Linked DNA regions of Astyanax mexicanus. The protein of the gene in region 3 purifies or fractionates together with the protein of the main gene of each other region. This does not show direct contact. Links are inferred from orthologs where the notes say so. Each region holds a gene or a part of one and is shown on either strand. Other genes may lie near its edges.

Region 1 (8,309 bases), on a different chromosome or scaffold from region 3:
AAAACCTTTCTTTTAAAGTCAAATGAATGCTGGATGTTAATCCACACAAAATTTCTCTCCTAAAAACAGTTTATTTGTATAAGTAAAACGCTTTTGTTTATTTACAATAAGCTAAGATACCCAAATTTCTCCAGCACTAAGGCTGGTGCATTAGCAGTAGCGACTAACTGCTAGCGGTTAGTGCCTAATGCCACCCGACTGCGCTACACTGGCTCCGGTAAGCCAGGCCGATATTAGCTAGCAGTTTCTCCCACATAGCTTGTTTTAACATGGTAAACACACAGCTAAAAGAGCTAACTAGTGCTTAGTGCGGTTAGCGGTTAACGCTAATGCTGCTCCAACAGTGCTAGCCAGTAATAATTCTTATTTCTGAACAGCTAAAAAGCTAGAGCTTAACATGATTAGCGGGTAATGCTGATGATACTCCAGGGCCTTACAATCTGACTGGTAGAATTCATACATAAGGCACATCGGATTATAAAGCTGTCCACTGTTCAAAAAATGTTACATTTCTGGTTCAGCTGGCACCTACTATCTGGCCTCGCATTAACCTCCATAATTAAGGCAAAGGTTGAACTTCTCTCGCAAGATAAAACCTCACAACTTGTACAGATGTGGGTGTTCCTAAGTCGTTTCTTGGTTTATCACTTCATGATCAGTTTGCATGACTTTTGGCATATCTTTTTATCATGTGGGTCCCACATGATGGGATCAGATCAGATGCAATTGAAATGAGATATTCACTAGTCATTAGTGGTTTTTAAAGTTATAGCTGATTTTTCTACATTTTCACTTTCTTTTTTTTTTTTGTTCATAGCGAGAAGAAGTACCGTATGTCTCGTAGCTCCACTGACCCTGGGGACATGCTGTTGCTCAACTGGACCACCACGTCCTCCAGAGACCCCTGCCACAGCAGTCCATGGGCTGCCCTTGCCAAAGAAGGCGTCCCCTACAGGACCGAAAGCTACTACAGCCAGGACGAGCCCCTCGACTTCTGCCTGTCTTCCGTGGGGGTCCCCAGAGTACATGCTACAGAAAGTCCATGGGATACTCGAATAGGTCCTACTGGTTATTTTTCTAGCAAGTTAAGCAAACACGCACAATCTGGCAAATTCCGCACTTCTCCAGGCCTCACACCAATGGGATCACAGGCCAAACCTTACGGACACAGCGAAAGGGACGGGTACTGTGGCAATGGCAAGACTGAGGGCAGGTACATGGCACATAATGACTGTTACGGTGGTCTCCTGCTGCCAGAGACCGCCATTAAAACAGAGCAGGACTCAGATTCAGAGAACGGCTGCAGTAGGTACACCACCATGCCCCACAACGGGGTTTGGCGCTATGGCATGACCTTCAACGATAGCCATCTGGTAAAAAACGAAGGAAACTACTACAACCACTGTAGCCCATGCAACCAAAGCGGTGGCAAATTGGCTGGTATCAGCCCAACGCTTAACGGCCACCAACGGTATCTCTATGCAGGTCCCAGCAAGCCTTTAAAATGTGCCCTCAACAAAGATGGCGCCCATTCTGACCCTCTAGGCAACCAAGCACACTGCCTCGATGGACACGCCTACCTAAATGGATCTACTGAGCCCAAAGTCTTCGCCCAGCCAGACTACAAGCTGAGCTATGAGTTCAGGAGCCACAGTCTTCTCCACTCCATCAAACGGGAGCCCATGGACTCTCCACCCTGGCCTGAAAGCAGCCACGATCCCAGCCAGGCACATGCAGACAGAAATGTGGCGAACTGTACACAAATGAACGCAATCACGCACAAAGCCAATCCCTATTTGTTTATGCAATGATGTCTGAACTGATCTGTGGTACTTTACGGTCAGATATGTCTTATGTCTTTGTAGTTAGTGATGGATTAAAGGAATACTCCACTGTTTTTTAACCTAATCTCTATGTAAAGAGTCTAAATCGCACTAATGACTTGGTGTCTTGGTGGTCATTTTGTCAGTGCATCACTTTGGAACAGGGACTTGCTGGGTTTTTCTGGTTTGCAATTTGTATTGGCCTGATTTGGACAATTTCATTTCATCAGGCTCAAACTTAAGATTTTTTACTTATGAAATTTATTTGAGGCAATTTTTGATATAATGATTTTAACAAGTGATTTTGATATAATGATTTTAACATATGGTTTGTCAGGCTGCTTTTAAACTAACAATATCGTGTCCTCCTTGGGTTCATTTTCGGGACAATTTTCACTCTCAATATCAGGCTCAGATTAGGCTGTATTTTACTTCCATCTATGTACATTTTTATAGGAGCATAGAACCAGATTGGGCCAATTTTCTATTTGAGTTGTAAATTGGGAGTTGGGACACAATTTTCTTAATTTTATTGTAGAACATTATGCTCATGTCAGACTCAGATTGGGCCAATTGCTGCTTTTGTCATCAAATTCAGATTGGATCAATTTGCACCTAATACAATAGATTCACATCAGACCAGTTTTGCCTTAGAGGTTGACCTTGATTTTTTACTTAAAACATCAGGCGTAGATATGGTCAGCTGCCAGCCTGCTACTTGCAACATCAGACTATGTAACATCCATCAGACACTTACTGTATTATTACCGCACTAAAAAGCACACCATATTGGGGGGCACACTATTAATAAATGTCTATTTTCTGGTCTATTTCCAAAAACAAGGAGCACCGGATTATAAAGCTTACCGGGGTTAGCAGCAGGCTACAGGCCGATAATACTCACCTCTGAACGGCAAAAGAGCTAGCGCAGTTTGCTGCTAATGCTAATACTGCTGAAGAAATAAACTGAAACTCCTGTATATTGCTGCATTTCAGCAGAGTGGCTTTACTGCTCCTTACAGCCTGACTGGTAAAATTCATACATAAGGCGCACCGGATTATAAGACACACTGACGATTTTAAAGAATTGTAAGTGTGCCTTATAGTGCAAAAAATACGGTACAATAAACTTCTTTTCTGTCCTTTCTGTCTCATTCTCTAGAAAATAGAAAATGAGAAATTACAGTTCAGGGGAACTTTGGTCAAGTCAAGATGAGACTATTAAGACCTCAGAAAAAAGAGAGATCAGAAAAGAGAAAGTCTGTTTTGAGTCTCTTTTTTACATAGTAGCAGGAATCACAATGTAATAGTTGTCTATTCAGTTGAATCTGTGCTACAGACGCAGCAGAGAGAGATTAGGTTAAAAAAATGCTGAAGTATTCCTTTTGAAGCTCAGGTTTACCCCTCCCTTTGCAGATGCAGGTCTCATAGTAGCACTGGTTTTGAGGGGAAGTTCTATATTTTAGCACTTTTACAATGATGTGGAAATTTATTTTAAATATATGTATATTCAATGTTTTTTTTTATTTGTATGTAATGCAAATAACTCTTAAATGCCACAAAAATTACATAAATGTACTGTTTTCTTTAAATAAAGATTACATGTTGGTCTTCATCCCAACTGGCTTTAATACAGGTGATATGTATCATGTTTTATGATTTTTAATCATGCACAATGTATAAATAAAGGGAATTTAATGGGGCGGGGGCTGTTTTGTGTTTTAGAATATATGTTGATTATTTGTTATAATAAGTTGTTAATTATGCACTGTGTTTTGGAATGAATAGCTTGCAGAGGTTTAAGTTGCTGTCTGAAACATATGCTGTGTGTTTACACTTGTCAGATTAACAATAAAAAAATATATATATCAACATAAAACATAAACCGTTATAATTTTGCAGCTATATCCTTTTCATAACAAATATTGCTGAGTTTACAGGCACATTTATCTGTGGTCTATCTGTGTTGTTTACCTGTTTACAGACTGTTAATTCCCTTCTGTCAGTTCTGTCATTTTTGTAGTCTAAATGAATAGTGAATATTATAAGTAATGGATTCTATGGTATGTATTTTCTTTAATGATTTCAACAAACTCATTTTGCAGTATATTTTGAATATGGTTCACAACCTCTTTTATACACGATTTAGCTGCTGAGCAGCAATCACTGAAAGTCGTATTTTTGTGTTTGTATTTTTGAAATGTAAGTAAAATATTGCATTGTCCCTAGAAAAGAGTCTTGTCTTATTTTAGGCATGCAGGAAAATTGTGAAAAATGTGTTTATTATATATTTATTTCTACAGTTATTGACGGGAATAATTGCAGCAGTATTAATCACACTTTATCACTACTGTACTGCAGGATTCAAACTCTACATCTAACCATTTTACTTTTAATATCAGTGACAATGCGCCCACACACTCAAATCAGCAACGTTCTCTAACCCTTAGGTCATGACTAGTGTTTCCTTTAAAATTAGCTAATTGTTTACTTAAAGTACAGTTTTAATTTAATACATCATTAAATAAAATTAATGATCACTAGGTTTTAAGTTTAAAAGTTCAAAATTTGTTGTTTTTCCATCATCAATCTTAACAGATGTAATGCAACCAAAAAAGCAGGTTTATTCAATGTTCTTTACTATCAACTGCCAGACCTGACTGTTTACTTGTTGACTAATGTTAAGATTCAACTCCTAACATTACTAACTGGATAGTAATACATTATTATTATTATTATTATTATTATTATTATTATTATTATTATTATTATTAATAGTAGTAGTAGTAGAAGTAGTGTTAATAGTGTTATTAACATTATTTTTAGTGTTAATATTATTAATATTAACAAATATATGATTATTATTAATGTTTAAAAAAAATAGTAAAAGTAATGATAAGCTAAACTAATATATATATATATATATATATATATATATATATATATATATATATATATATATATATATGTTCAAGTGTCATTAACATTAACATTTTGGTTATTAACATTATTTGTAATGTCATTTTTGTGAATTAGTATTATTATTATCATCATCATTGTGGTTATTATTATTATTATTATTATTATTATTATTATTATTATTATTAATTGCGTTATGAACGTTATTATGATTTTATATTTTTTTATTATTTATTTATATATATTTATTATATATTTTAATTCATTAATTTCTTTTTTTATTAATTGATTTTTTCACCTGGTCCTGATCTGGCTTATGGCTGACCCTGCTCCTTTCTGCGCAAATCCTGCGCAGCCGTGCCTGTCTCTATGGGCATATGCGGGGTTGGGCGGCGCAGCGACCAGGAAGACTGAGCGCCGCAGTAAGAGGAAAATAACGCCAGATAATTAGAATAATATGATATTAATGCAGAAAACACTGAGCGGGAGCCTTTAGGAACACCAGCTGAGCCCGGGTAAACATTTGTTACACCGTATTTCACCTTAAATAAGCGGAGAACGCGCTCAGAAACCGGTGCCAGGAGCTGTTTGTGCCCAGGCTAAAGAGTTAGCTTACCTTAGCCTGTTAGCTTTAGTGTTTATGTAGCGTTAGCAGCTGCAGCTAAGCTATATGTTTATGTAAATAGATGTATATATCTGTTCAGTTTAGCTAGCTAAGCTTGTTAGCTAGTGGGTGCAGCTCTGTCCACCTCAAACCTGCTCAAAATACGTTAAAACCCGCTGTTAAACAGTCATTTATTGTTTTTCAGGAATGGGAACATACCAGTCTTTTTCCTACATTGTAAATGAATACTGAAGTTGTCCAGACTATGAAGGAACACATAAGAAATCATGTAGTAACGTTAACTTAAAAGTGTTCAACAAACCAAAATACTCTACTCTTATCTGGGGGACTGTTAACTTGTGGTTTCTGAGGCTGAGGCTTGTCCTTTCCTGGTCCTTATAAGTGCCAGTTTCATCATAATCTTATGTCATGCCAACTCTACCTCTTCACAACTGATGCTCTTAAACTAACATTAAGGGGCAAGAAATTCAAGTAATTAACTTTTGACGAGTTCAGCACAGCTGTTAAATGAAAGACTGCCTTATAAAGCTGAATAAGAAAATCCAGCCAAGATGTGCAAAGCTGTCATCAAAGCAAGAGGTGCTACTTTGAATAATCTATATTTAATATTATAAAACATATTCTGGTTTGTTTGTTTTATGTTTTCTTTACTAAATAATTCCATATGTTTTTCTCTTTATAGTTTGGATGACAGTATTTATCTACCGTGCAGCAAATGTTAAAATAATGAAAAAATACTGAATTTTAGGTGTGTCCAAACTTTTGACTGGTACTTTAAAATTTACAGAGAGACTAGACACCCATGTATAACTTTTAGAAACAAACTGACACCTTTCTAAAATAATCGCCTGATAAAATCTGGGTTTAAAGTTTAGACCGCTGTGTCTCCTCAACTTGCTCGCATTATTAGCCTGTATAGGCCTAGGATGGTAAAGTTACCTGAGGTAACCTAGCCTTAGCTTTTATTTGTCCAGCAAAAGGGCTTCTTTCTTTGTGTAAATTTCACTTATATGAGTCTTGAGTAGCTCTGCTGAGGTAGTTTTATGATTAAAATAGATCTACTTAGATAAATTTGTGACTTGCATTGTACTGCTGATGTAAATGTATGATTAAAATAGCTCTACTGCTGGGATTTAAGGTTTAGGCTACTGTGTCTCCCCACCTCTCTCTCTCTCTCGCTCTCCCTCTCGCTATCATTGTCTCTCTCTCTCTCTCTCTCTCTCTCTCTCTCATTCTTGCTTGTGCTGTCTTCTGTACTGTGGATCTGGGACTGAATATATAGAATTCGGACTAGAGCGATAAAGTTGCCAGAAAAAGAGTTATCTGTTCATTAACCCAGCTATCTGCACTATTCACATATAAAAAAATCTACTGTAAAAAGAATCTACTTAAAAAATTATTAGAAAATTGACCAAAGTTAATTTAAAGGGTTTGCCGATGTGCACAGTATTTGGTTTTAATATAACTGACGAAGCATGTTTTTATTTATTTTTTTATTTTTATTTTTACAGTGTGTGCAGGTTGCCATTATGGAGGAGACGAATAGAGAGGCCGTTGCCACAGCGGTGCAGAGGGTGGCGGGGATGATCCAGCGATCAGATCAACTGGATAAAGTTGAGCAGTACAGACGAAGAGAGGCACGAAAGAAAGGATCTGTAGAGGCCAGACTTAAAGTAAGTTTATCAGTGCCTTTGTTATATATCAACTGCAGTGAGAGTGTTTACTGCATTACGAGCCTTTATTAAATATATTTATAATTGTCGTTGTTGTGTGTAAATGTATAACAGTGTCTTTCCCTTTGTCCTACAGGCTGCAATCCAGTCCCAGTTGGACGGAGTTCGAACAGGCCTCACTCAGCTGCACAACGCTCTGTGTGATGTGAAGGACATCCAGAACTCGTTAGCAGACGTCAGCAAGGACTGGAGGCAGAGCATCAACACCATCGAGAACCTGAAGGATGTTAAGGATGCTGTGGTCCAGCACAGTCAGCTGGCCTCTGCAGTGGAAAATCTCAAGAACATCTTCTCAGGTATGAGTTGTTGTTTGTTTGTGTTCTTCTATCTTTGTAAACTGACTGTTTTTTCCAGCTGAAAGATTTAAGCTCTACGGGGCTAGAGTGATAACGTTAGCTGAGGTAACTTAGCCTTAGCATTTATTTGTTAGTTATTAGTAAAAAACTGTTTGTCTTTCTCAGTGTAAATTTTGCTCACATGTCACTTGAGCAGCACTGCTAAGGTAAAGGCATTTTTGGGTTAGAATATCTATGCTGACTTAAGTAAATGTATGACTAAAATTGCACTGCTCTGCTAAATTTATGATTAAATAGCTCTACTTAGGTAAATTCATGACTGAAATTGCACTGCTGTGGTAAATGTATGTTTTAAAAGCTCTACATACGTAAAGTTCTGACTTAGGTAAGGTAAATTCAAAAGTTAAATTGTATTGCTCTGGTAAAATTATGATTAAAATGGCTCTGCTTGGATAAATGCATGACTGAAATTGTACCGCTGAGGTAAATTTGATTTAAATAGCTATCTGTAAGAAACTCCTGAAGACAGAGCTCTTCAAAGAGCACTTACTCTCCTAACACCTCTAACTAACTACCTTCCACTACCAGACCAGGAGAATCTCTCACTATCTTTAATAAACTCCTGAAGACAGAGCTCTTCAAAGAGCACTTACTCTCCTAACACCTCTAACACACTAACTACTTCTAACCTCATTTCCTTCTTCCCCTCCTTCACTCCTCTATCCCATTATTTCCCTTTGACCTCCTTTAGGTCCTATCTAAAGATGTTTTTACCTTTAACTTCTATTACTTTTGTACTTCACTATTGTCAGTCGCTTTGGACAAAAGCATCTGCCAAATGCAATGTAATGTAATGTAAAATAGTGCTTTTTGGGTAAATTCATGACTCAAATTGTATGACTGAGGTAAATAT
Region 2 (7,781 bases), about 31 Mb from region 3:
TGATGTCCTTGACCAGCAGTGACTGTAGGATGAAGGTGAGGTCTAGGCCGATCTCGCTAAGCTGCCGGCAGTGTTCGCTGGCAAACTTGACACATTCAGCAGCTGTGGACAGACTTTCCTTGCTGTCGAACACCTGCTTGCTGAAGGCGTCCACAAACATCCTCATGGCCGAGCGGGACCACACCACAAAAGCAGAGTAGCAGCCTGTGTTGCCCGCAAAGTCAGTCTCGAACTCGCGGGCAGTCTCCAGCAGGCTGGTAAAGAAGATGTTGCAGAGTTTCTGGATGTAGAGCAGTGTGGCACCCTCGATGCGGAGCTGCCGGATGGCCGTGTGTACCGCAGCTGCACGATTCTTCAGGAACAGCTCGCAGGCCTTGGTGGACTGCCCCAACCGAATCAGCTGAGACACAGCTCGGCGGGTCGCTTTGGGACCCCCACGTAACGACCTGTCAGGGGAAAGCTCAAACACCAAGACCTCAGTGAGCTGCCGGACACGCTCGTCCACTTTGGCTCTAAGATCTTTTACCCGTGGAGTGACTGGCTGGTCCTTTAGGTACTCATTCAGCTTGTCCAAGAGGTCCACAGCACCCTCAAAGTCCCTCTGGGCAATGCAGACATCCAAGTCCTCAGGCAGCTCCTGGATCCACTCTGGGCTCAGGTCCACCAATTCTTCCGAACCTAAGGGTTCATCCTCATCAAAGGGGTTAGTGGAGGCGACCTCTTGCCGAACCGGTGATGTGGGGACCTCCTCCTCTTTCTTGTGTCGATCTTTTGCCACTTTGTTTTTCTTTGTCTCCTCCAGGATCTCCAGCCATTCTTTCTTGATCTTGCTGTTCTCCGCTTGGAAGATGCGGCTGTCTGGGAACATTAGGATCTTGAACATGTCTTTCATGGGTGGGTTGTCTTTCACGTTGACAACTGCAAAGCTCTCCAGGTCGTACAGAGCGTTGTACTTGTACTTGACAGTGCCGCGTCTGTTCGCCAGCCAGGTTGCTATCAATAGACAGTCATTCATTAGGAAGGCGTGCACCTTCTGAATCTGGGACATGTTGTCAGCATCGTATTCAAACAGGTCACCATTGTAGACCAGGTATCTGCCAGGTGCCTCCATGATGTTCTTGCACCCCTCCACCTTTTCCAGTAGTGTTGTGAGGGTCCTCTGCTTCACCTCCTCTGTCTCCTTGGGAAAAGCAGCCAGCATCTCTTTGGCAGTTTCATCCTTGTCTGTGGAGAGCAGGGCCTGGGTGATGCTCTCCATGATGCTCTTCTGCTCGGTCAGAATGTGACTCAGCTGGTACATCTCGCTCTCCAGGTATGAGATCTCCTTAGCCGTTTCGATGAACTGCCTGTAATTCTTGTAGACATTTTTCTTCAGGTTCTGGGCTGTCTCGTCCGCCAGGCTCTGGATCTTCTGCCGGTGCTCCTGCAGATCTCTGTCTCCGTCTGACTGCTGAGACAGCTGCTTCACGTAATTCTGCGGGTCGAAATTAGCCGATTCCAGCTGTTTTCGCAGCCGTCCTCCGGTGTCAGCCATCTCAAAGACTGGGTTATTCCTGCAGAGATGGAAAAAAAAATCGCTCTGAGAGTCGAAATATTCAGCAAAATCAAGCCGCCATTACTGTTTTGCTAACTACCCACCCTCTTCCTCTCCCGGAAAGAGACAAGCCTGCGCCAGAGAACGTACACAGAGGAGAACACCCAAACAAAAAATCTCTTCTGGGTTTATTTGACCACTAGAGGGCGCCCCCGAGAGAGTCTAAAACGAATAGGTTATGGAGCATTTAAACAAAATCATAGTTTATATATATATATTTTTTATTTTTATACCAAAAAAATCTTCTAATTTCCTTAATACGGAACAATATCAAAGGTTTAAGCACCGCAAAAATATTTTAGAAACCTTTTTTTCCATTTAGAAGGCATTTAAACATGCATTGGCTGTGTCTCCTATGACAGCATAAAGTATCTCACTAACCAGTCAGCTCGCATTAGCAGAAATGCTAGCGTCTCTGTTGTCTAAAAGTAGAAAAATGTAGATACATTTAAAAATACAGGTAGGGTTTTCTTTGCTTCTTTAGCAAAATGCTTAATTCTACTTTCAAAAATTAAAGGAATATTCTGGACAAATAGTTATTTGCTATTTTTAATTTGAGATTTTAGCCGTTTAGCTCCATTCACCCCCATTCATTAAGAACTCGCTCTCGGGCTCCTTCTAGGCTCAATTGTCTTTTGTTGTAATAAGATGGGGGAGAGGAGGGAGTGGGGCAGGCTCCACATAAACCGGCTCTAGCGGATCTTGGTTGCGTCAGAGCACGGGACTGGTGACAGCTGGATTATAAAAAATGTAGTAAATCATTATTTTAGCTCATTTCAAATTTGTAAAATAGCCTAGCTATCCTTCTAAAGTGAAGAAGACTGATTTCAGAATAATAAATAAATAATAAATAATAAGCTGTAGCTTGTGTTTATAGAAAGAAGGTTTAAATCTGAAGTTTATTTGTGTGCTTTTTGTAAGTCAGTAGATGAGTTTGAGAAGAGACCACTTAAAAATGATTTTTTTCTTTGTTTCTTGATTTTACCAAATTTTAAAAGCCATCAAAGCAAGCTAAACTGCTTGGATTTTTGCACCAGGAGTGGTATAAAGTTATCCAAAAGCAGCGTGAAAGACTTTATGAATGTGAACTTGTTTTCTTTGCACTATTTGAGGTCTGAAAGCTCTATCTCTTTTTTTTGTTATTTCAGTCATTTCTCATTTTCTGCAAATACATGATCTAAATGACATTTTTTTTTATTTGGAGTATGGAAGAAATGTAATTTTATTCAAACATATACCTATAAATAGCCAAAGAAACTGAAGTGGTCTCTTATTTTTTTCCAGAGCTGTATATATAAATATATATAATGTATGAAAGAATTTAATAAATAAATTAAATAAGATAAAATTAAATATTACACTCTTACGGCCACGCCCCTCTGTTTTCGTCTCCCGGAGGACTAACCGTATCCCGACAGGCTGTGCGCTGAGGCTGTGTGACGCGCAGCCGCTCAGAGCTGCTAACGGCTATTTTGGTTTCAGAAACTAAATAATGGCGAGTTTAACCGATTTCATTACATTTTATTCACAACGTCTCGGTTAGACGTTTTAACATTGATTTAGACGATGTCCTATTGGTAAGAAAAAAGAGTATTTATTTAACGGAAACGTGGTTGTTTTTGTATGAAAACCGGTGTTCTGTTTGATTTCTGCTGCTCTGTCTTCTTTAAAACACGATTTTTCTTCTCTTTTCTGTTGCAGAGCTGAATACTTTTTTACCTGAGATGAGCTCTGAGTGGAGTGGTGGATGTCCCAGTCGGCGGCAGGTTAATTTAACTACTTATAGTTGATCTACAGCGGTGAGAATGGTAGCAGTGAGCTCGGTTTCATAAACACAACATAATCAGTCCAGAGTTACCCCGCAGCAGCAGCAGCACTCACCGCCTTCACCGTGATGGAGGACGAGGACTTCATCCTGGCGCTGCAGCTGCAGGAGCAGTTCAATAACGAGGCCCTGGCTCCGTCCTGGAGCGCTGAAGACCACGGAGACCACGGAGACCTGCCCTTCAGTAAGAAGCGGAGGTTGGGCTCTGAGGAGTCCTCGGACTGGGCTGTAGTAAACCCTCAGCCGCCTCTCTCCATCGTGGACGAGAAATGGGAGATGCTGGACCCCAGTCCAGATGTCCGAGCCATGTTCCTGCAGTTCAACGACATGTTCTTCTGGGGGAAACTCAGCGGGGTGGAGGTCAAGTGGAGCGCAAGGATGACACTGTGAGCTTCAGCTGATATTAACTTAGCTCAATTAAACACAACCTTAAATTCACATTAGGGCTGCCACAAACGATTATTTTTATAGTCGACTAATCACCGATTATTTTTTATGATTAGTCGACTAATCGGATTATACGTTAATTGAATATAAAACACAGTTTATCACAATAGAATGCAGCTGCTATTATACACTGGTCACTGGTCCTCCTGTTTTTTTTTTTCCAATTGCATTTTGGATGCAAGAGTTCTGTCACTGAGTAAAAGCGTGAAATATTGTTCACAAATGCCACCCTGAGAAACTGATCCCATCCAGATAGGGATATAAACACTCTGTTCCTGTCCGCTTAAAATATTTAGCAACTCACATCTACACCAATTTTGATACTAAACTCACTCTGATATAATTATGTCCCATCCACATTGCACATGTCCTATATTATAAAAAAAATATATATATTAAAAACTTTTCCAGTTTGGAATTTGCAGCTCAGAAAGGCAGTATCATGTTTAATTGATCATTGCATATCTTTTGATATAGCTAGGTGGGTCAAAAATTGGTTCCTTTCAGGTCCTAAGTTGATTCATTAAATCATGTACGTATGTTAAATGAGGAGGGCCATTAAAGTCATTTGTGCCATTGCCTGTGAGGATCAGAGTCTGGCCTGGATTTCAAAATATTAATGAAGTAAAAATTGTATATTTATTTATTTTAATCTTTAAATCCAGGTGTGCTGGTGTGTGCTCTTATGAAGGTAGAGGTGGTCTGTGTTCAATTCGTCTCAGCGAACCACTACTGAAACTCAGGCCAAGAAAAGACTTGGTGGAGGTTAGTAAATTTGTGCAGATTAAGAAAAGACAAGGGACCTGTTACTGTCTGTGATTATGTGTGTAGTATTATATTGACAGTTTTTGTTTGTTTTGTCAAATTGCTTTTTTAAGTATTTTTTCACAACCTTTATGAAATTCTGTTTCTAGACACTTCTGCATGAGATGATACACGCTCTTCTGTTCGTGACCCAGAACAACAGAGACCGGGACGGTCATGGGCCTGAATTCTGCAAACATATGAATCGAATCAATAAAGCCACTGGAACCAACATTTCTGTATGTATTAAATGGACATTTATTCTGAATTAAAACAAAACGATATGGAACATATATTTTACGGTTATTTGTAATGACATTGTGCAAGGACTTTTTTCCCCCTGTAGTAATTAAATATTCCAATAAACTACTGTATTCATACCTGTGCATTACCAGTTAACATACTATAATTGTACATCTGCACACTGCTTCTGTCTGGTAGGCGTATGTAAGAAAGTGACCAGTAACTGTATTATATGATGTATTATATGACATTTCAGTTCCTGCATTATATTAAACTAAGCAGTGAATCTCCCTAATCTTCCAGGTTTATCACTCCTTCCATGATGAAGTGGATGTTTACCGTCAGCACTGGTGGCGTTGTGATGGTCCATGTCAGAACCGTAAGCCGTTCTTCGGTTACGTGAAGAGAGCGATGAACCGAGCTCCTTCAGCCAGAGATCCCTGGTGGGAGGACCATCGAAGAACCTGTGGAGGAACGTACACTAAGATTAAAGAGCCAGAAAATTATGGAAAAAAGGGCAAGAATGAGGAGAAGAAGGAGAAGAATGCCTCCAAGAAGCCTGCGAGCAAAATTATCCCAGCTAGCAGCACTGCAGGTGATTGGGCTGTCATTAAATAAAGCTAATTTAGTCACTAAGTTGTGTTTGGAGTAACTGATAAGTCTCAGATGGAATTACGTTTTTATTTAAAAGTTTTTTGTTAAAAAGGGCTTAATATGTGGTGTATAGGTGCTACATGTTGTATTATTCATTATCCATTTGCATTGCAACTTGGAAAGAGTCAATATTTATTTAGCAAATAGTTGTGGTATTGCTAGAAATGATCTACTTTGTAATCAAATGAGTGGTTCAATAATCCTATATGTGTGTTGCAGATTATATAAATAATATATATGAATATAATCACTCACATTTTTGTAAGCCTAATGTACACACAAAACATTTGTAATTTTTTGTTTACTTGTCCTCTTTTAGGTTCTGGCTCTCAGGACATCAGGAACATCATTCCTTTCACTGGTAGAGGTTTTGTTCTGGGAGGGAACACACAGCCACCAGCATCCATACAGAAACCACCCAGCCAAAGCTCCACACAACAGCTGAGAACTCCAGAGAAACCAGCTAAAACTCCTCCCACAGACACCAGACCACAACCCAGCTCAAACCATGTTGATCGGCGGGTCAGCACCAGCACTGTGACCGCACTTCCGAAAAGGTCCGTCAGCAACACCAAAGCCTTCATCAACATTAATGGCTCTCCTGTGAGAATCACAAAGGACAACAGCAACTTGATAAGACCTAAACAGAGGACAGTGCAGGACCTCTTTCAGGCCAGGAGCCCGAACTCTCCTGAGAAAACACCTAGCATTTCAAGTGCCTCAAAATCTGCCACTGCAGCCACAGCATCCAGCCAGCCCTTTAGAACGTCAGCTGTAGGTAGTGCCTTCGACCGAAAAGCCACTGGGCAGGTTTCTCGTGGTACAAACCGTACTGAAACTAACCCGTTTAACAAGAGTTCTTCCAGTAGCTCTGTTGGACCAAAGCCTGGTTCTACAGGGCCAGTCCTTTCTAAATACTTTGGCAGCCCCAAAACTTCCTCAGCAGGTTCCAGTTTGCCGAATTTCGGAATCCAAAAGAAGCCAGAGAGCAGCACTAGCATTACAAGTTCCAACTCGAGACACTTTGGAAGTGGCTCACATGTTTCAGCCTCAACTTCTTCCAGGCCATTCGGAAGCCCCCAAAAGCCAGGTGCTGCTCCTGCTGCAGGAGGGCGGAAGAGACTGAGAGAGGATCGTAACTCTGCACATATCTTTGATTTCTTTCAGAGGGAGGTCAAACAGTCCTCTGCATCCGTTTCCTCCAGGGAGCAGCAGGAGGGGAGTAGGGCTGATGGTGGGACTGCCCCTTCTCAAAGCTCCAGTGCTGTGACAGTGCACTGTCCTGTGTGCCAGATCAAAGTGCCAGAGTCCCAAATTAATGTGCATTTAGACTCTTGCCTTAGTTGATAAATGTTTAAAGGCAGAGGAGTGGATGAAGTGTTTTTAGTAGTGTTTGAATGTGTTCTGATGGGTTTGGTTTTAGCACTTTGTGAGGATCACAGAGGTAATTGAAATACATAGTTTGTCTTTGAAAAGGAAACATTTGGTAAATCCCAAACAGCTCCCTACTTCCTAGGAATGGGCAATAGGGTAAACATTATTATTTTAGGGCATTTTTAAGATATTTTCACATTACACGATATGTATCGCAATACACGATTGCAAACAAAATTCATCAGTTGCGGCGCTCCTAAAAATAACAAATAAATAAAATACAAATACAAATTTGTATTTTAAAAAAAGTTAGTGATTTATTTTATTATTATTATTATTATTATTATTATTAAATGTGCAATTGGTCAGTGTTCTTTAAGCACTGATGTTATCCGAAAAATACTCAGGAAAGTATAATATGTATCATGATCATAAAACTGATCATGATACAGTAAAATATTGTCATATTGCCCACCCTACAACTTTAAAAGTTATGAAACTAAAACTATGGCTCCACCCCATTCTATTATACTTCTTTTTCAAACCTATAATGTGTCTTATTCCGAAGCCCGATGCGCACCTCCCCAGAAGTATAACTCTGCGACGCAGACAGCAGCAGCTCTGATTGGTCCACAGAGTTCCCTGCCTTTGCACCTTAAACAGCAGCGCAAAGCAGTGGTGCAGACATCCACATGTAGAGAAGTATAAATGCACTCCACTGCACAGGGCAGTTGCGTAGGCTACACCGTAGACAATGTCTTCACTCAACACAGACGTATTAGAGGCTGACTCACCCTCCTAGTGGCCAGGAGCACTAGTAAGTGGCTAGATTAATTGGCT
Region 3 (8,678 bases):
GCATTATGAGGAGTACTTTAAACAATTAAGGTATTTTTTATCTGTTTCCAAGTAATGTTTAATATTTTAACATGTTAGTAACATTGTTATAACAGTGATTTAAACTAGCTGTATAATAATATTTCTTAAGCAAAATGACAAAATATTATTATTCTAGAATTTAAAAGTTTATGCTTAATAACACTGTTCTAAAAGGCCAATATCAAGATACCAAGAATTTACCCTCCTTAATAAAAAAGCTTGAAAAACTGATAATGTTTCCATACCAGTTAAAAAGTGCTTCCTCTGTAGTTGGTGGCAAATTAAAAACTGTTTGATTCACTGTTTTTGTGACAAAAAAAACAACAAATGAACATATCTCTACCTGTTTAAAAAAAAAAAAAAAAAAAAAAAAAAATATATATATATATATATATATATATATATATATATATATATATATATATTTCACAGATTAAAACTAAGCAGTGTGTGTAATTTTACATGTCAGTTTAATTATTGGTGAATATGTGACAACCTGCACTATATAGAACATAGAATCACTTGGAAAAAATACATATACACAAAACCTAATATCTACACAATTTCAGCTTTACAGAAGAAAGGTGAAAAACTTTAACTTTTGGTGAGTGTTAATGAAAAAATTATATTGCATTTATTAGGCAATTTTAGAGCATTTCTTTTGGTTCATTCTTCATGACATTCTGTTTCAATTTGAAAAATAACAAATGCTTATACAGAGTTTATTGTTGACAGTGAAAGACTGGCACAACTTTACAAATAAGGCAGAAATCCTTTATTTTTTAGCCCTATACATGAATATGTCAATTGTAAACAATTTAGACAAACCATGACTTATTACTGTACACTAAAACAATGGTTCTCCACAGCAACAAAAATAGGCTCCAAAATAATTCTTAGCTTGACTGTAAAGTACTGTGAAATGTAAATCCTTTAATTAATAGAGAATATTTAGATGTTTATGCACTAGTGTGCAAGTATTAACCTTTGTACTAAAATGCAAAGCCTTTCTTTTCTGTTGAAATTGAGCACCACCAACACAGACTTTCACACGGTGTGGAAGGTTCCCTGCTTCTACGGTTCCCCCTGTTGGTGAAGGTTGTAATATACACTGAAGCCCTTAAATAAATATTCACATCATAGATTTTCACATCATATTTTCTCAATTGCTGCACACTTTCAGAAAAAAAAACACCAAAAGAAAAATCTCCTTCCCCTTTTATATTGTCACAATACATTAATCAGCAAAAACTCCAATGTTCATCATTTTTTACACAACTCTGCACTAAAAAGCAACCTTAGTTACAATTCCACTTTGTAATACACTTAGCACTATATACTTTATTATTTATTGCAGTTTTTCCTAAATTTTGCAAAACATCAAATTTAGTAAAACACATACACCCAAATGTCAACTCTTTTCTCTTTTTTTAACTCCATCATGAAGATTCTTCATAAAGCTCTGGCAAGGGGTGTGTGTGTGTGTGTGTGTGTGTATTCGTTCCTTCACATGGCGCCTTCCCTCCTGGCGATGGGCCCATGGGAACACACTGGGACAGAGCCACTCAAATTAGACAATAGTAAAACAACACACACACAGTCGCAAGTATATATAATCTGAATATTCATCTATAACAGTTTTATATTTAATACAGGAAATAATTGTCTATTTAAAAAGTTGTTTAAGCTGGACAATAACATGTAAAAGACATTGCACTAATCATAACTTCTCAAAATAAAAATCTCTTCATATCACCTGCCTTATAGCAATACGCAATGGGCCATGGTTTACAGTAGAAGTATCAGAGTATTCACAGCTTTCAGTGGCTTTTTTGTCAAATATCAATTTTTAACTAACTAAATATACTAAATAAATAATCAAACATTTTTATTTATAAGAATTGCAAGAAAAGCAGTTTGTTTAAAGTCTGTGTTGGCCAGTGGACTGCAGGAAGAAAATAACATTGGATAATGAAGTAAGTTCATAGCTTTGTCATATAACAATGAAAATATCAAATAAGTGGTCAGCTCCTCAGTTTATTTGTTGATAAATATAAGAATCAGTCTGCTAACAACACAATGGTTTCAATAATTTGATACATCGATAGACAAATCTAAATAAATAGATTTGTTATAATAAATAAAGTTTGTCTGTTAAATATTTTACAATGGGTTTATGTGCAGTTCAGCAAAATAGATTTTACAGCTTCTAATATTCATCCATATAAATTAATAGTAAATCCTCATATTTTTCTTTGATTTCTTCATGTTTCTACTTAAGAAGTAGTTTGTACTTTCAATTAAAGTGGTAACAAGCAATTAAAATAGTTTTATTCAACTCAAATAAATATTTTCAATCAAATATCAGTATGTTTAAAGTATTAATCAAACCATTTTTTTTCTGTGGCAAATTGCTAATAGCCTTTATTTTCAGCAGTTATTGTATAGACCAGGCTTGGGGTCTTGGAGAGGTTGTAACATTTTAGAAAATGTAAAAAATAAATAATGATAATAAACGGTAAGCATAGTCATCATCACCATAGACATCACAAACTATATACATAAATCCCACTCCAGACCTCAAGTTATAAATATCAGACATATAAATAATAAAATATAATAAATATCTTTATGATTCTTAAGCAATATAATAATAGTAGTATAAACTCTTGTGAGTGTTTATGTTTATTCTACTAAGCTCAGCCCCCCTCCAAAAAACACACACACACCCTGGTTGCTTGCTTTCTGTCAGAAGGAACACTGTGCTGCCTCTGCCAAGACCAAATCGTTCTTGATCTCTGAGATTAAGCCGACATAATTAAAAGATTTCAGTCTCTCCCGGGACTCTCTGAGGCTTTATCACTTTATCAGGGGGAAAGTCTCCTTGCCTGAGATAACGGAGCGTGAAGGCGCGCTGCATGGGTGGCCGCTGAAGCAGCCACTATCCTAGAATAAACAGAAATGCAGGGAGAAGAATTCCAATGTAAAACCAAATCACAGTCAAATACAATTTTAGAGTGTATGTATAGAGATCAAATAACCACTAGCAATACTATAGTCTATATCTGAGCGTAATAATATTTTTAGAGTTGTAAAGTATCATAGAGTAACCACAATATAGTAAAGATGGCAAAATAATGACAGGTTATAATTTTGTAACAATAGCAGAAATTAAATCCTTCACAGAAGTGGATTGTATAAAAATGTGCAATAATTTTGGAGACAAAATCAGTAAGAGTAAGCTAAATCAAATCATAGGCAGTTCTGTAAAACTACTGCTGTATTAATAATAATAAAAAAAAATTCAGTGCCCCTTTGCGTGCCCATTTCTTTGGGTCTGCTCCTACTGGAAGTCTTACATAATTGCAGGATGTTTATTGTGTGTATGAGGACAGATTTGAGTGAAATGTGCTTCACAATAAGATGTTTTAGTTTTCTATCAGACATCATTTCCTGAGATACGACTCCCAGCCCGTCATACTTTTCCCATCCTTCACCACCCAGCCTTATTTTTCCATTTTTACTTTGAATTTAAAGACATTTAAAGTCAATTTTGTCAACTGTCCTCATTTGCACTACAAATATGGTTTGTGAAAATGTCAGAAGGCATCTAGACAAAACAGAAAAACAAATAACATATAAAGAAAAAAAACATATAAAGTCAGTCCAAGTGTACACAATTATATGTACCTGCCAGCTAATACAGTTTTGACTTTTTCAGAAAATTGCCCATCTCAAGGTATAATGATAGGCACACACACACACACACACACACACACAGATAAAATTAATATATATTTTTTAGTTTTACTCTTTTACTTCGAAATTCTTTGAATTACTTTTGAAATGACTCAAATCACTTTTTTAAAAGGGCAAATTACATTTAAAATTACATTTGAGCCAAAGAGAAAAGCAAAGCAATCTATCGAGGAGGCAAAATGACAAATGAGTCTTTTGCAGTTTTTGCTGGTACCTGTAGCACAACTTTGAAAATAACTAACTCAAATAGCTGTTAACCTGGTAGACTAAACTAAAAGCTCTTTATCTGATTTACATTCAGCTAGCAATTCTAAACACACTTTTAACCAAACACGAAATACTATTCCCTACATTACATACAGCAATACAAACTCAATACCCTTTTTTATTTTTGGATACACTGCCCTGCAAACACCATACTCATCTACCAGTTACCAAAACCCAGATACAGGTCAAAACTATTCTGCAACATTTCTTTTTTACAAATGTTTACTGTTTTCAGGATACTAGGCAGATTGTCCAGTCTAATCTGAGCTGCACCAATATAGCAATCAGGCAGTGTGGAAAGCTGTGTTATGGCTATGTGAAGTCTAGGCTATACTTCCTCCCACTGGTACTGTAATGTACTCTCCTGCTGTGCAGCACTATACATACTGTATGTCACTTTCATACTTTACTACAATTACTGCAGTGGATTACAAGTTTCTTTATAGTGATGAAGCTTCAAATCTGCCAAAAGAGGCACAAGGCATAGGAACCCATGCCTTCCTCAGTGTCGCTTGGAAGCATGGTGGCAACATCACAAATGGTGTGTGCAACCATTTGCCAGAATGAAGTTCATCATTATCACACTCTTGACAATACCCCAATATGATGACAATATGACTTAACATTCTTTTGTAGATGGTGAATATGTTGTGCTTCATGCGACCCTTGTTTCAGGTTTGCAGTGGCCTTTCCAGGCCCTATGGTTATTTAATTAAGCTGTGAGTTTTGGTACACATAACACAGTTAACAAAACTAATAATGCACGTTTATTTTAGTAGCTAGAGAATTTAGAGGAGGCTATAGCCCCTAAAAAGAGGCCTATGATTTAAATGCAGCTAAAATACTAACAATATTGCAACAATAATATATCTGAATGGTTTTGCTGGTGTTAAACTATTTCTTATTACGTGAAATATCTTGGAATGCCATGAGGAAGTGTTTTTTTTCTTGTGAAAATGTTTCACCTTTTTATCCAGACTACACTTCCAGCATCAACTCAGTCTGTAGCTAAAGTCTGTTCTTTGCAGTGACTGCTGGAGCAGGGAGGGGCCAGAGACGCAGTGACCCGGATGTACACTGAGCGACCAAAACAGCCACAGCCCCTGGTAGAGCGGTGATCTGCGCTAGATTAGGTGGGTTTTAATCTAACATTACACCAGTTAACACGCCGCGGTTTTTATATTAGGTGGTCTTTGTAAGTAATTTATTGTAAAACAGTGTTTTTAGACCTGTGTTTCTCCTGTCAGTCCTAAAGACTGCGCCGATAGCTTCAGAGGCTAACCAGCCGCTCCGCTAACCGAGCTAACTGTTTTTAGCCTCAGCGCTAAGGAACTGTAACGTTAGACTTTTAAACAAATGTAGTTAATTAACGAGGTTATGGTATGGTAGCTAACCTAGCTGGGTAGTATTTATAGCAGCTCTTTGCTGTTCTGAAACACTCCTGTTTTTTTACACTGAAAGCGGTGGTGAAGGTGTTACACCAAGCTCAGCTGTGCTGGTTTGTTATTCTGCTAATGGTTAATAGTAACGCTAGTAGGTGAGCTATTTTGTTTTATTATAAGCAGAACAGATAAGCTGGCGTTAGCTATCTACTGCTGTATGTTAATTTATAGGTCAAATTGTATTTTGGTAATTTTGAGGATAGAGAGCTGTTTCTGAGCAGAGCTGGTGGAGGACAGGGTTCAGTATCTCTCTGCTTTAAAGTGAACCCACTAAAGTACTTTTAACAAATGCTTTAAAAGAGATCACTGGCCTGTTTATTAGAATTTCATCTGCTTTGATCCTCTGACTAACATGACAAGTTTACAGGCTACAGGCATTAATACAGTTGCTGTTGTAAAAATCATGTGACATCCTTAACCGCCTCCCTGAATCAGTTACATACTAGCCAAGTCCTACATTTTCACCTCTCTTACATTTTTTCAGACTGCTTGAACACAATTCTGTATGCTGGTTTTACAAAAAAGCTTTTCACAAAAAAAAAAACACACTTCCAAACTGTAAAATACTTAATTGATTCTGCAAAATAAAGCACAGAAACCAAAACCACATATAGCATTATCAAAACCAAACTTTTGCACCTAAGTGTACACAATTATTTCATATTAACAATTTTTTGTTTATCCACCTACTACTTACTGTTGGGAATAATGAAAAGCGCTCTCATCTTTAGTAAGTTTTGTCACACTACTAAAATAGTTGAAATTGTAGAAAAGTCTTCAGATTGTTCACATGCACAGACAAATTTGCACATACACACACACATACTGCTGTAATTTTGTTTTTCACCACCCAGTGAATAACTGTAATTTTACAATCATTTTTGGCAACTGTTTTGACATTTCCTTATTGTAAAATTCACAAGAAACGTTTTACATTGTACAGTGGCAAAAAGTCAGAGTAAAGTGAAAGGTTGTTATTAAACATGCACACCCCTACTTCATATGTGTTTAATTTATCACACCATCATACTTTTCATTCAAAGAACAATAAATTTTGGCCAACTGTCCTCATATGTACTGTAAATATGATTAGTAAAAAGATCAAACAGCAACTAGGCAAAAAAAAAGATACATTTTTAGATTGTAATGCTTGTTTTTAAAATATATTAGGCCAACAATATAGTGCATGTGTACACACTCATATGTTTATAAAACTTCGGTTTATAAACCATTTTCCTAATTATTTTTTCTGTCTTAGATAGAGATTATCTTTACACGTGCAAGTGAAACAAAAAGGGAAAAATATGTAATATCGCCTACCTACATTCTCAGTGTAGTCTACTGTATGGTTTAATATTTAGTTTTTTTTTATGGAGATGCTACAGAGAGCACATAACCTTGGATGATTTTTAAGAAAACATTTTCAGAAAGCTGATGTAACAGCATTGTCCTTTAAGCTTGTTGAATAATAGCCTTTGTGCTCCTAGTTTAGTAATGCTGTGTGAAGGTGGCAGACACAGCTACTGGGTAGATTAGGGAGAATACTTGCAATGCTGTATCGGTTTTCTTGTATCAGGTTTTAATCAGCAGTTTACACGGAAAAGTTGTTGTCAGACAGTGATTTAACCAAAAGATATTGTTGATACAGTGATACAGTAATGTACTTGTACTATCATTACAGTTACAATTAAATATAATTTTGCCACTTATGCAAATAAGCAAATAACTCTCTGAAGAATTGAATAATAATGTTATCTAAATTAAAATAGTGCTTCTTATATATTAGAACTAAGCTGTAAAATACACTATGTGTAGAGTTGTAGATATAGCTGTAATTAGAGCTCTATAGAACCATGACATTTTTAAATATTGAAAAAATTATATTTGATTCAATCTTTGTGTGAAAAAAAACTTTATAGAACCTAAAATATTTTTTTCACCAAACCATAATTATGTGGGACAATTACATCAGGATCATACAGTTTAAAAAATATATCAGACAAATGTATGTGATGAATATTTAAAACTGATATTTACAATTTTAAACAACAAACAATCCTTACAGCAGATGCACTGCCTTTGTTAAGCAGCATAGATTTGCAGTAATCACATTTAATATTTTTCTTTGTCCTCTTTGCATTTGCAGTGTGGGAACAATGTCTCGTGCCCGCCAACCTCCTCTAGTGACTGGCATCTCGCCCAATGAGGGCACACCATGGACTAAAGTCACTATCCGTGGAGAAAACCTGGGAACCGGACCCAATGACCTTATCGGTAACATGCACAGTGCTGAATATATAAAGACTTAATAGTTTAGTCTAAAGGGAGTAATCAAAAGTCACAGAGATGTATTTAAGTGACTCTTTTTTATTTAAATGTTTAATGTGAAGGCTCTGTTTATCATGATATTCAATTTTTTTTATTACTTATTTAAAAGAAACATTTCTATTTATATATATCTTTTATTATTATCTGAAAATGAGCACCTGTTTTCCAGGCTAAGAGTATAATTCTGCTTCTGTATTCCTTTCAGGTCTGTCTATCTGTGGTCATAACTGTCTGCTGACGGCAGAATGGATGTCTGCAAGTAAGATTGTGTGTCGAGTTGGTCCTGCTAAAGATGACAAGGGCGAGATCATAGTCACAACCAGGAGCGGAGGCCGAGGCACATCCACTGTGTCCTTCAAACTCCTCAAACATGAGAAGATAGGTTAGAAATGCACTTGCATGTTTTAGATCTTTCTGTGTGTATATAGTCATATACAGCAATGGCAATTGTTATCTTAAACAAAGATTAGAATTGTGGCAGCAAATAGAATGTACATATACAGTATTGTCTTTGAAGTTTGTAAATTATTAAATATATCGTATGACAGGCTTATAAACAAGGTTTATACATTGAATGTTAATGTTGGCATTCTTGACTATGAAGCAACATTGACTGTGGATCAGAAATTATTTTAAAATATTTTTGCTTTTTGTATTTTTGCATGTGTGCAGGTATTCTGGATCAGTCTGCTGTGTGGGTAGATGAGATGAATTACTATGACATGCGGACAGATCGGAACAAAGGCATCTCCCCTCTGTCTCTGCGGCCAGCCAACCCACTAGGAATTGAAATTGACAAGTATGTTGACCACTTACACACCCATGGACAATCTGTAAATACACTATTCTGATGTAAAATGT
Region 4 (8,103 bases), on a different chromosome or scaffold from region 3:
ACCAGAACGAATCTGAAGAACATGGCCACCAACTACTTTGGAACACAGTTCCTCAAACAGGTGGGTCTCAGAAACGAATGAGGGGGTTATTAGGACCAATCACGGTGAGGAGGAGGTTTTAGAACAGATAAGTAGGGGATTAGCAAGTCCAAAAACATGCAAGAAGGTTATTAGGAGCAAACAAGAGCAAACAAGCCTGTGTTTATTATTAATTACTCAAGGGGATATCTTGGAAAACAAGATATGGGTGGGTGGGTGGGTAAAGTGCTGTCGTTTATTTACAGTAAACTTATATTTCCAATATTTTACTGCGGTTAGCAGCAGCACTAGACGCAGGTAGCAGCACAAAGCCCTAGTAAATGCCGCCCGATAGCGCCACACTGAGGAACCTTGGGTGTTCTGGTAAGCCAGGGTGCTATTATACAGCAGTTTTAATGCAGTAAACACGCAGACTACAGGTCGATATTCTCATATTTAAAATGGTGAAAGAGCTAGCGCTGCGGTTAGTGGATAATGCTAATACTGCTCCAGCCTCTGTGTAACACTGCACTTCAGTGGAGTGGCTTTTACTGCTTCTTACATCCTGATTGGTAAAATTAATACATAAGGTGCACCAGATTTTAAGGTGCATAGTTGATTTTTGGGAAATTAAAGGATTTTAAGTGCACATTATAGTGCAGAAAAAACAGTATATACATGCATATGATATATCGCTGCTGTCCTGTGAAAAACACTTATCTCCATTTTTGTCGATTTTTAGTTTACTACATTATTTGAACAGACAAGCTGTCCCTTACACTGTGCCAAAATTTCTTGATGAACGGACCAACAGAAACTCTTTAAAATGACCTGAAACAAACTCTTTTTACCTTGACTTCCATTTAAAGTTTACAAGTTTTTTTCTCTCCTGTAAAGTTGCTGTTTTGGACATAAGTGTTTTTGATTGGACAGCGACGATATGCATAATACTTTATTGTTACCTTGATCAAACACAAATCAGCAACAACATTAAAATCAGCTCCATAAATACATACATTACACTGGTCAACTATGACATTATTATTACCTTCATGTTTGATAGGTCAAAGAGCCTGTTAAATAACCAAATGGAATTCCACGCCTAATAAATCTTAATGACAAGAATGACTTTTCAATTATTAATTGAATAAATATTTTAAATTGTAGTTTTGTAATTGTTTTATTTAAAGCAAGACAAAATACGTTTAACAAAATGATTGATTTGGGATTTGGCCAAATTTTTATTTTTGGCATATTTTTATTAATATGAACCATGTGGTCAGAAAATACAAAAAGCTAATGAAGAGATTTTTGGGACAAATCATAATCAAGGGAATGTCTTTTGGAAAAGCAACTGAGGTTATTAATACAGAGTCTACTGATAGTGATCATATTCCAGTGTCATTCATTTTCTTGCTTGTTAATATGCACTAATTTATATTTCTGCTGTTTATGTTTATTACTGAAGGCTCTGAGTAAACAGGAGGAGTCGTGAGAGGGAGGAGGAGGAGTCTGCACTGTCACTCCAGCTGTTTAAAAGGAGGAGGAGTTAAAGGACTTCCTGAAGCGAACATTAGTGTGTAGCTGACTCCGCTCTGCAGATGCTGCAGTATTTCAAACACACCTGTTCTAGTTTTGGTTAACGTTATGGTTTGAGTTTTCTTTAACTTATTAACATTTAATTTATATGCTGTGGGATATTAACATATATTGGACCTATAAAATGGTAATGTTACTTAACAGAACCCTTCAGAAGTTTGGGGATGTCCTGTCTCCTATTCTTTAATGTTCACTGTTACTTAGTTAAGTAAGAAAATATATATCACAGAATAGAGGGACTTGCAAATCTGTTCAACCCGTTTAAAAAGTGTTTAGCACAATTTTTTTTCCTGGAAAATATATTACTTAAAACTGAAATTTTATCCTGGCAGTGTTACATGCAGATTTTTTTTTCATTTTAAAACAAATTAAAACAATTAAAACAAAATGTTTTAACTTTATTAATTTAGAAATTAAATGTAGTATTTTACAGAGTACCCTGTTGTCATCTACAGGCCTTTCACTCTGTATAAAAAAAATGAGAAAATATATGGAAAAATTAATTGTCAACAAAATGTATAGAATAATCAAATAACTACATAAGAAAAAATAATAACTACATAAGAAAAATCTATAAAAGCAGCAAAAGTAATTTTATTTTACTAACTACACAATTTGCAGATACTGAATCATTGTTTATTATTTCATTTTGTGTTAGTTCATTATTCTGAGATTATACGTTTTTATTTTTAAATTTGAGTGCATCATTCATAATCATATCAGTGACAATAATTTTGTTTGTCGCAGTTATTTTTCTGACAGTATATATTCTAAAACTAAATCGTTTTTCTGACAGACCAACATGTGTACACAGCATGATTTTTTTTTTTTTTTTTTTTTTTTTTGTAAAATGTAACACAAATATACAAATATGACTAATTTAGTGATTTTTAAGGGGGTTGAATAGTTTTTGCAAGATAGTGTATGTTACTTTTAAACCTGTTTTTTTTTATTATTATTTACTGGGACTAAAAATAGAGGTGTGCCATATGGCAAAAGTGTTCATTCACAATATTGAGTGATTTTCACTAATATTTGTGAAGATATTTTGACTGAAACTGCTACTCTCACATAATGAGTACAGATATATTTATTATTAATCATTATTAATTATTATAAGTCTTCTTAAAGCACTGATGATATCCATAATATGCTCAGTATAAAGTATGCTGTGAACCACAATAACAAAATGAATAATAATATGATAAATTATTGCCATATAGCCCACCTCTAACTACGAATGTCTTTATACTTTCCTCTGATGTTTTGCTTTGATGTGTAAAACATGTACATACCTGTGTAAATGAATTAATGTAAAATACCTTTTGACACTCTGGAACTATGAATAGAACATTTTTCAGAGCATTTCTGTAGAGATGTTAGAATGTTTATCATATCTATAAGAGAGGTTGTTAGATCAGTCAGTATGAGTTAGTATGAGTTCTGTATTTGTGGAATGTGATGAGATGTGATGAAATGTTTCTTGAAGTGAACTGGATTAAATAGATTTGTCTACATTTCAGTGCATTCTTTCAGTTCAGTTTATTCTTTATTGTTTGGGAGAATCATTCTAATGTATAAGTAATTTATATTTATATTTTAAAAGTTTAAAAGTGATTACTTTTGGAATATACTATTTAAATTAAAATAAGGTAAAAGCACTGAACTTTACGAAGAGCTTAATTATTAATAAACACCTTTCTGTCTAGAATAAGTTAATAATTAAAATTTTTATTATGTATAAATCTCACTTACGATTGCTTTAGCACTGTTACAGTTTTTTTTTTTTTAAGAAATACCAGTTTTCCTAGAATAAAAACGAATTTTATTATTCCTGAAGTATTGTAGTATTTATGTAGAGAAACATTAGAGACCAAGCCAATAATATTTGTTTGTGGAAATCTGAAAGTTCATATTTGTTACATCATAGCTTATGCAGAGCAACGTCAAAGCAGGTGTTCTGTCGAGTTGTGCTACCCATCGATGCGTGCTTTCTGAAGACACTGCGCATGCGATAACCTACGATTTTTCTATATTCCTTTTTTTTTATGAATTTATTTTATTTATTTATTAAATGTGTTTTTGTGTGTGGATTAAACAACCTGGACTCACTGTCATTGCACAAAAGTGTAAATGGAAATTAATAATAATAAAAAAAATACACAAAATATTTTATAAAACAACACAAAGCATTTTATAATGATCTCTTATTGACATTAATTGGCCATAATATTGTGGCGTGGAAGGGGAAAGAAGACCCGTGAGACTCATGCTGAATGTTCAACAGCTCCTTTTATTGAACTGGCTTATCACTCACTCACAGTCTTTAACAAGACTAGGAGAGCTAAACCATAAAACCACAGAGCTAAATAGCCCAAAGGCCACCAACCCAGCTGTGTGTCTCCCAGATGGCAGATCCAGAGTGGTGCCCACCCTCTCTGCATAACCCCTCCCAAGGGAGATGCCCCACCCCTGTCATCCTCGCACACAGGAGAACAGAAACATGCCTGCAGGCAGCCACACACACAACCCAGAGCCGCCACAATATAGTGATTTATGCTATTCAAATATACTAACGTACATCTACTGGGCCTTCTACTGGGAACATGCTGTAATACGGTGCTTTTTTGTTTTTGTAAAGTTAGGTTTAATATGCACTACACTAGTGTAGAACGGGTTGACAAGGCAGCGCAACTGAATAGAATAACTGGCGATGAGGGAGGACTTTTATGTTGAAGTGTCGAAGCGTTTGTCAGTATATTGAACTGGTGTGATAATAGTCAGCTGATTTCCGTTCCGTTTCCGTTCTTCTACCCTTTTAAACTACAGATTCTGATTCTTACTCATACTGTTTTGTGTCCAGTTGGGGTTAAATTAAAACGTGGGATCTTTTTGTAATATTAATGTTAATTTTGTCGTTGTAAAACGTTATTTTTTTTATCTAAGGCTTTTATTTTGTAATATAGTGGATAGTGACTCCCCGGTCGTTAGTTTGTGCGGAGCTCGGTGTTGAGTGTTGTTACTCAGGGCGGAATGGTGATATAAAGCTGTATGTGATCAGTTTAACCTGAGTAATTTCGGATTATTAATATTAAACTATACTGTGTGAGAGTGGGTGGAGATGATCCCGACGGAGGACGCGTCCGCGCGGAAGCGGGAGATCGAGGAGAAGCTGAAGCAGGTCGGGCTGCGGTTCAATAGCCTTAATTAACGTTACATCCTTTATTTACACACTGTTAACACTGACACGCTGTAAACACACTCTACAGCATTAATACACACATGTATGTTAACAGTTAACGGTTTATTCTGAGGGGCTGTAGGGTCTTAGTGTGGTGGTCTTCTCTACAGTGCAGAGCTGCTGTGATAAATCTAGCTTTAGCTAATCTAAATACAGGCCATTCACTCACTATGCTTTAACCCAAAGAGCCCATGATGACAGTGTGTGTATTACAGACCCTTAAAATATATGTTAAATTCCTCACAGCACTCTGTCTTTCACTTTAACTCCTGATATCCCCAATTCACATCTGAGAGTATCACAGCACAGTGTGTGAATGTGTGTTTTATCCTTTTGTTTCCTTTATAAATCTAAATATAACTGGTTGTTTGGATCAGCAATTTCAGTTAAGTATATCATATAGCAGATGAACACAGTGATATTTGAGAAGTGAAATGAAGTTTATAGGATTTACAGAAAGTGTGCAATCATTTTTTAACAAAATTAGACAGGTGCAAAAATGTGGGCACATAAAATTACATCATTATTTATTAGATCATCCTTTTGCAGAAATAACAGCCTCTAAACTCTCCTATAGCTTCCAATAATAGTCTGGCTTCTGGTTGAAGGTATTTTGGATCATTCTTCTTTACAAAACATCTTCAGTTAAGTCAGATTTGATAGTGTTTGAGCATGAACAGCAGCCCACTTTAAATCATGCCACAGACTTTCAACATTATTCTCAAGAATCTACTGATATTGAATCTATGATACCCTCAGCTTTAAAAATATTCCCAGTACCTGCACTGAACACACAGCCCCACAGCATGATGGAACCACCACCACATTTTATGCTTTTTCCTCCATGCATACCGACCGCCCTCCAAATAACTCAATTTTAGTTTCATCAGTCCACAGCACCTTATACTAAAATGTGTCCAAATGTGCCTTAGCATACCTCAAGCGACTCTGTTTGTGGCGTGTGCACAGAAAAGGCCATTAAAAGTGTACTTTTGGCTATTTCAACAATTCAGATGTTTAGTCTTCCATATAACTACATTACATTACTTTACATTACATTACATTTAGCAGACACTTTTGTCCAAAGTGACTTACAATAGTAATGTACATAGAGGAATAGAAGTTTAATGTTAAAATACATTTTTAGACAGGGCTTAAAGGAGGTCAAATGGAAATAATGGGAATCTCTGAATAGTTCTGACGTGATTTTTAGACCAAAAGGTTATGGGCTTGATTATGGTTGTTATCATTTCTGTTTCATCTGGATTTTAGCCTTTTAAATATTTATACATATGTGCCGTCTTTAAAACAATAAGAAAAAAAGTTACTGCTCAGTATTCAGTCCTGTTCTGATTGTAAAAAGGTAAAGTTTTCTGTTGTTAAAGCTTTATAAATATATGATGGGTTATTTTCTCAAAATTTAACTATAATCTCTGTATCGTGGTGTCCAGTAGAATTGTACATGTGGTCATTTTGCTCCTGCAGTTTATGCTAAATCCAGTGTATCTGGTGTTTATTGAAGATAAATTTAGAATGGTTTGTTGATTTGTGTGTGTGTGTGTGTGTGTGTGTGTGTGCTGAACTGCAGGAGCAGGAAACTCTGTCCTTCATTCGGGAGAATCTGGAAAAGAGTGACCAGCTCACTAAAGGCATGGTAAGAGATTCAGAAACAGTGTGTGTGTATTTATGTCTTGTAGCTACATTATCTTTTGCATTTTGTGCTTAATAACGTATTTGGACACCTCAACATTCTTTCTGCTTTTATGTTGTCCCATTCTAAACCCATCCAATCCCATTTCACCCCTTGGCCCTACCATTTACTCCTACCCCTTCTTTTCGAGTGAAATCCTCCCCCTAAGAATTGGGACAACCCTACAAGCACCCTATATGTCATCAGAAGGACAGCACAAGTGACTTTTATATAAATATTCTGCTCTGAAATAAACCAATTTCTTATAGTTATTAGGGTGACAAACTGAATAATACAAAAAAACAGTATTCTAAATTTGTTGGGCAAGACAGGAAAGGTGAATATAAAGGTGAACAATAGCCTATAAAGGTGAAGATAGCCTCCATAATATACCAAAATTTGCATATCAAACTGGTCCCCAACACTAGTCCTGAAGCTGCTAATGTGTTACTGTTATAACCATTAAACCACTAAATGTGGAAGAATGTGGTTCCTGAGTGATTGAGTTGGGAACCACTGGTATATCACAATGATGTTTGTCAATGAACAATAAATAAATAACAATAAATTAATTAATAACACTGCTTAATTACCAGGATATTAGGTGAGCCTGCAGGCTGATGTGATAGCAGTGGAGCGCTAAAGTTCCGTAACCTAGCTGCTGGTTAACTAGTTAACTTTAGGGCATTGTATGTATTTAGAAAGGGTCAAGAAATTAATTATTATTGCTAATATCTTGATTCTTCTGTAATGGGGAGATGAAATTAGCTTTTATTTTATTTTATTTTTCCTTTCCGCCCTAAATGCTGCAGCTCCTGCCATCTGTTTCACTATTTAAGGTGGAACGGGAAAGTAAGCTAGAACTACTAGCAAACTTTTTTTCGACTATAGTTTTATTTCTGTCACTCAGGTGTCCATCCTGTCCTCGTTTGAGAGCCGCCTCATGGCTCTGGAGAACTCCATCATCCCGGTGCATAAGCAGACGGAGAATCTGCAGCGTCTGCAGGAGAATGTGGATAAAACCCTGTTCTGCCTGGACCACGTCATCAGCTACTACCATGTTGCCAAGGACACTGACAGAATCATCAAAGAGGGGTGAGTGTCTTATGCTAATGAGACTTAACACTAGGGTAATGGCAACAATATTGTCATCATATTCCAACAATAACACAAAACTCTCACTCTTTATGTTCAATTATTCTTGCATTTTAAGCTGCTGCTGTGCTGTGATGTCAGTTCAGTGTGCTGGAGCATTAGCTAAGAGCGAGCGTTATTCTCATTACTACTCTTAAACAATCTCTTAATTCAGAGAATCCACTGATGTTCAGGAATAAAATGTACACAGAATAAAACATACAGGGTTCTGAACATATTTATGTACCACAGAATGTGATACAGGTGAGTTTTTGAAAAGTCCATTCATCAAATATGGGCATACGAGGACTACGGAATGACACATGACTGCAGTGGTCTATAGGGATTAAGTTCCTTACGACATGGCTCTCCAAATGATCACTGGTTGTGGAAACTGTGAACTGTGTGTCTCTTCACTCTA

What was found.
Region 1: the proteins of exoc2 (region 3) and exoc3 purify together in Homo sapiens (affinity purification with mass spectrometry; 6 studies listed by BioGRID and IntAct, counting the BioPlex papers as one, with this or other methods). This does not show direct contact. The link is inferred for Astyanax mexicanus from reciprocal best matches to the Homo sapiens genes EXOC2 and EXOC3.
Region 2: the proteins of exoc2 (region 3) and exoc8 purify together in Homo sapiens (affinity purification with mass spectrometry; 7 studies listed by BioGRID and IntAct, counting the BioPlex papers as one, with this or other methods). This does not show direct contact. The link is inferred for Astyanax mexicanus from reciprocal best matches to the Homo sapiens genes EXOC2 and EXOC8.
Region 4: the proteins of exoc2 (region 3) and exoc7 fractionate together in Homo sapiens (co-fractionation; 4 studies listed by BioGRID, with this or other methods). This does not show direct contact. The link is inferred for Astyanax mexicanus from reciprocal best matches to the Homo sapiens genes EXOC2 and EXOC7.

The regions. Positions count from the first base shown.
Region 1 is NC_064411.1:51,609,081-51,617,389, forward strand, and holds the start of exoc3 (exocyst complex component 3), read left to right. Parts: upstream 1-5,105; 5' UTR 5,106-5,257; intron 5,258-6,878; 5' UTR 6,879-6,896; coding exon 6,897-7,040; intron 7,041-7,176; coding exon 7,177-7,396; intron 7,397-8,309. Other genes in the region: ahrrb (aryl-hydrocarbon receptor repressor b), read left to right, coding at 818-1,811. UniProt on the Homo sapiens protein: Component of the exocyst complex involved in the docking of exocytic vesicles with fusion sites on the plasma membrane.
Region 2 is NC_064408.1:45,574,712-45,582,492, reverse strand, and holds the start of exoc8 (exocyst complex component 8), read right to left. Parts: upstream 3,489-7,781; 5' UTR 3,476-3,488; intron 1,762-3,475; exon of another isoform or gene 1,639-1,761; intron 1,554-1,638; 5' UTR 1,535-1,553; coding exon 1-1,534. Other genes in the region: DNA-dependent metalloprotease SPRTN, read left to right, coding at 3,489-3,805, 4,532-4,631, 4,781-4,909, 5,217-5,508, 5,887-6,914. UniProt on the Homo sapiens protein: Component of the exocyst complex involved in the docking of exocytic vesicles with fusion sites on the plasma membrane.
Region 3 is NC_064408.1:76,634,496-76,643,173, reverse strand, and holds the start of exoc2 (exocyst complex component 2), read left to right. Parts: upstream 1-5,068; 5' UTR 5,069-5,180; intron 5,181-7,635; 5' UTR 7,636-7,645; coding exon 7,646-7,763; intron 7,764-8,022; coding exon 8,023-8,199; intron 8,200-8,489; coding exon 8,490-8,616; intron 8,617-8,678. UniProt on the Homo sapiens protein: Component of the exocyst complex involved in the docking of exocytic vesicles with fusion sites on the plasma membrane.
Region 4 is NC_064422.1:17,965,095-17,973,197, reverse strand, and holds the start of exoc7 (exocyst complex component 7), read left to right. Parts: upstream 1-4,445; 5' UTR 4,446-4,738; coding exon 4,739-4,798; intron 4,799-6,446; coding exon 6,447-6,512; intron 6,513-7,458; coding exon 7,459-7,643; intron 7,644-8,103. Other genes in the region: tvp23b (Golgi apparatus membrane protein TVP23 homolog B), read left to right, coding at 1-60, 1,487-1,513. UniProt on the Homo sapiens protein: Component of the exocyst complex involved in the docking of exocytic vesicles with fusion sites on the plasma membrane.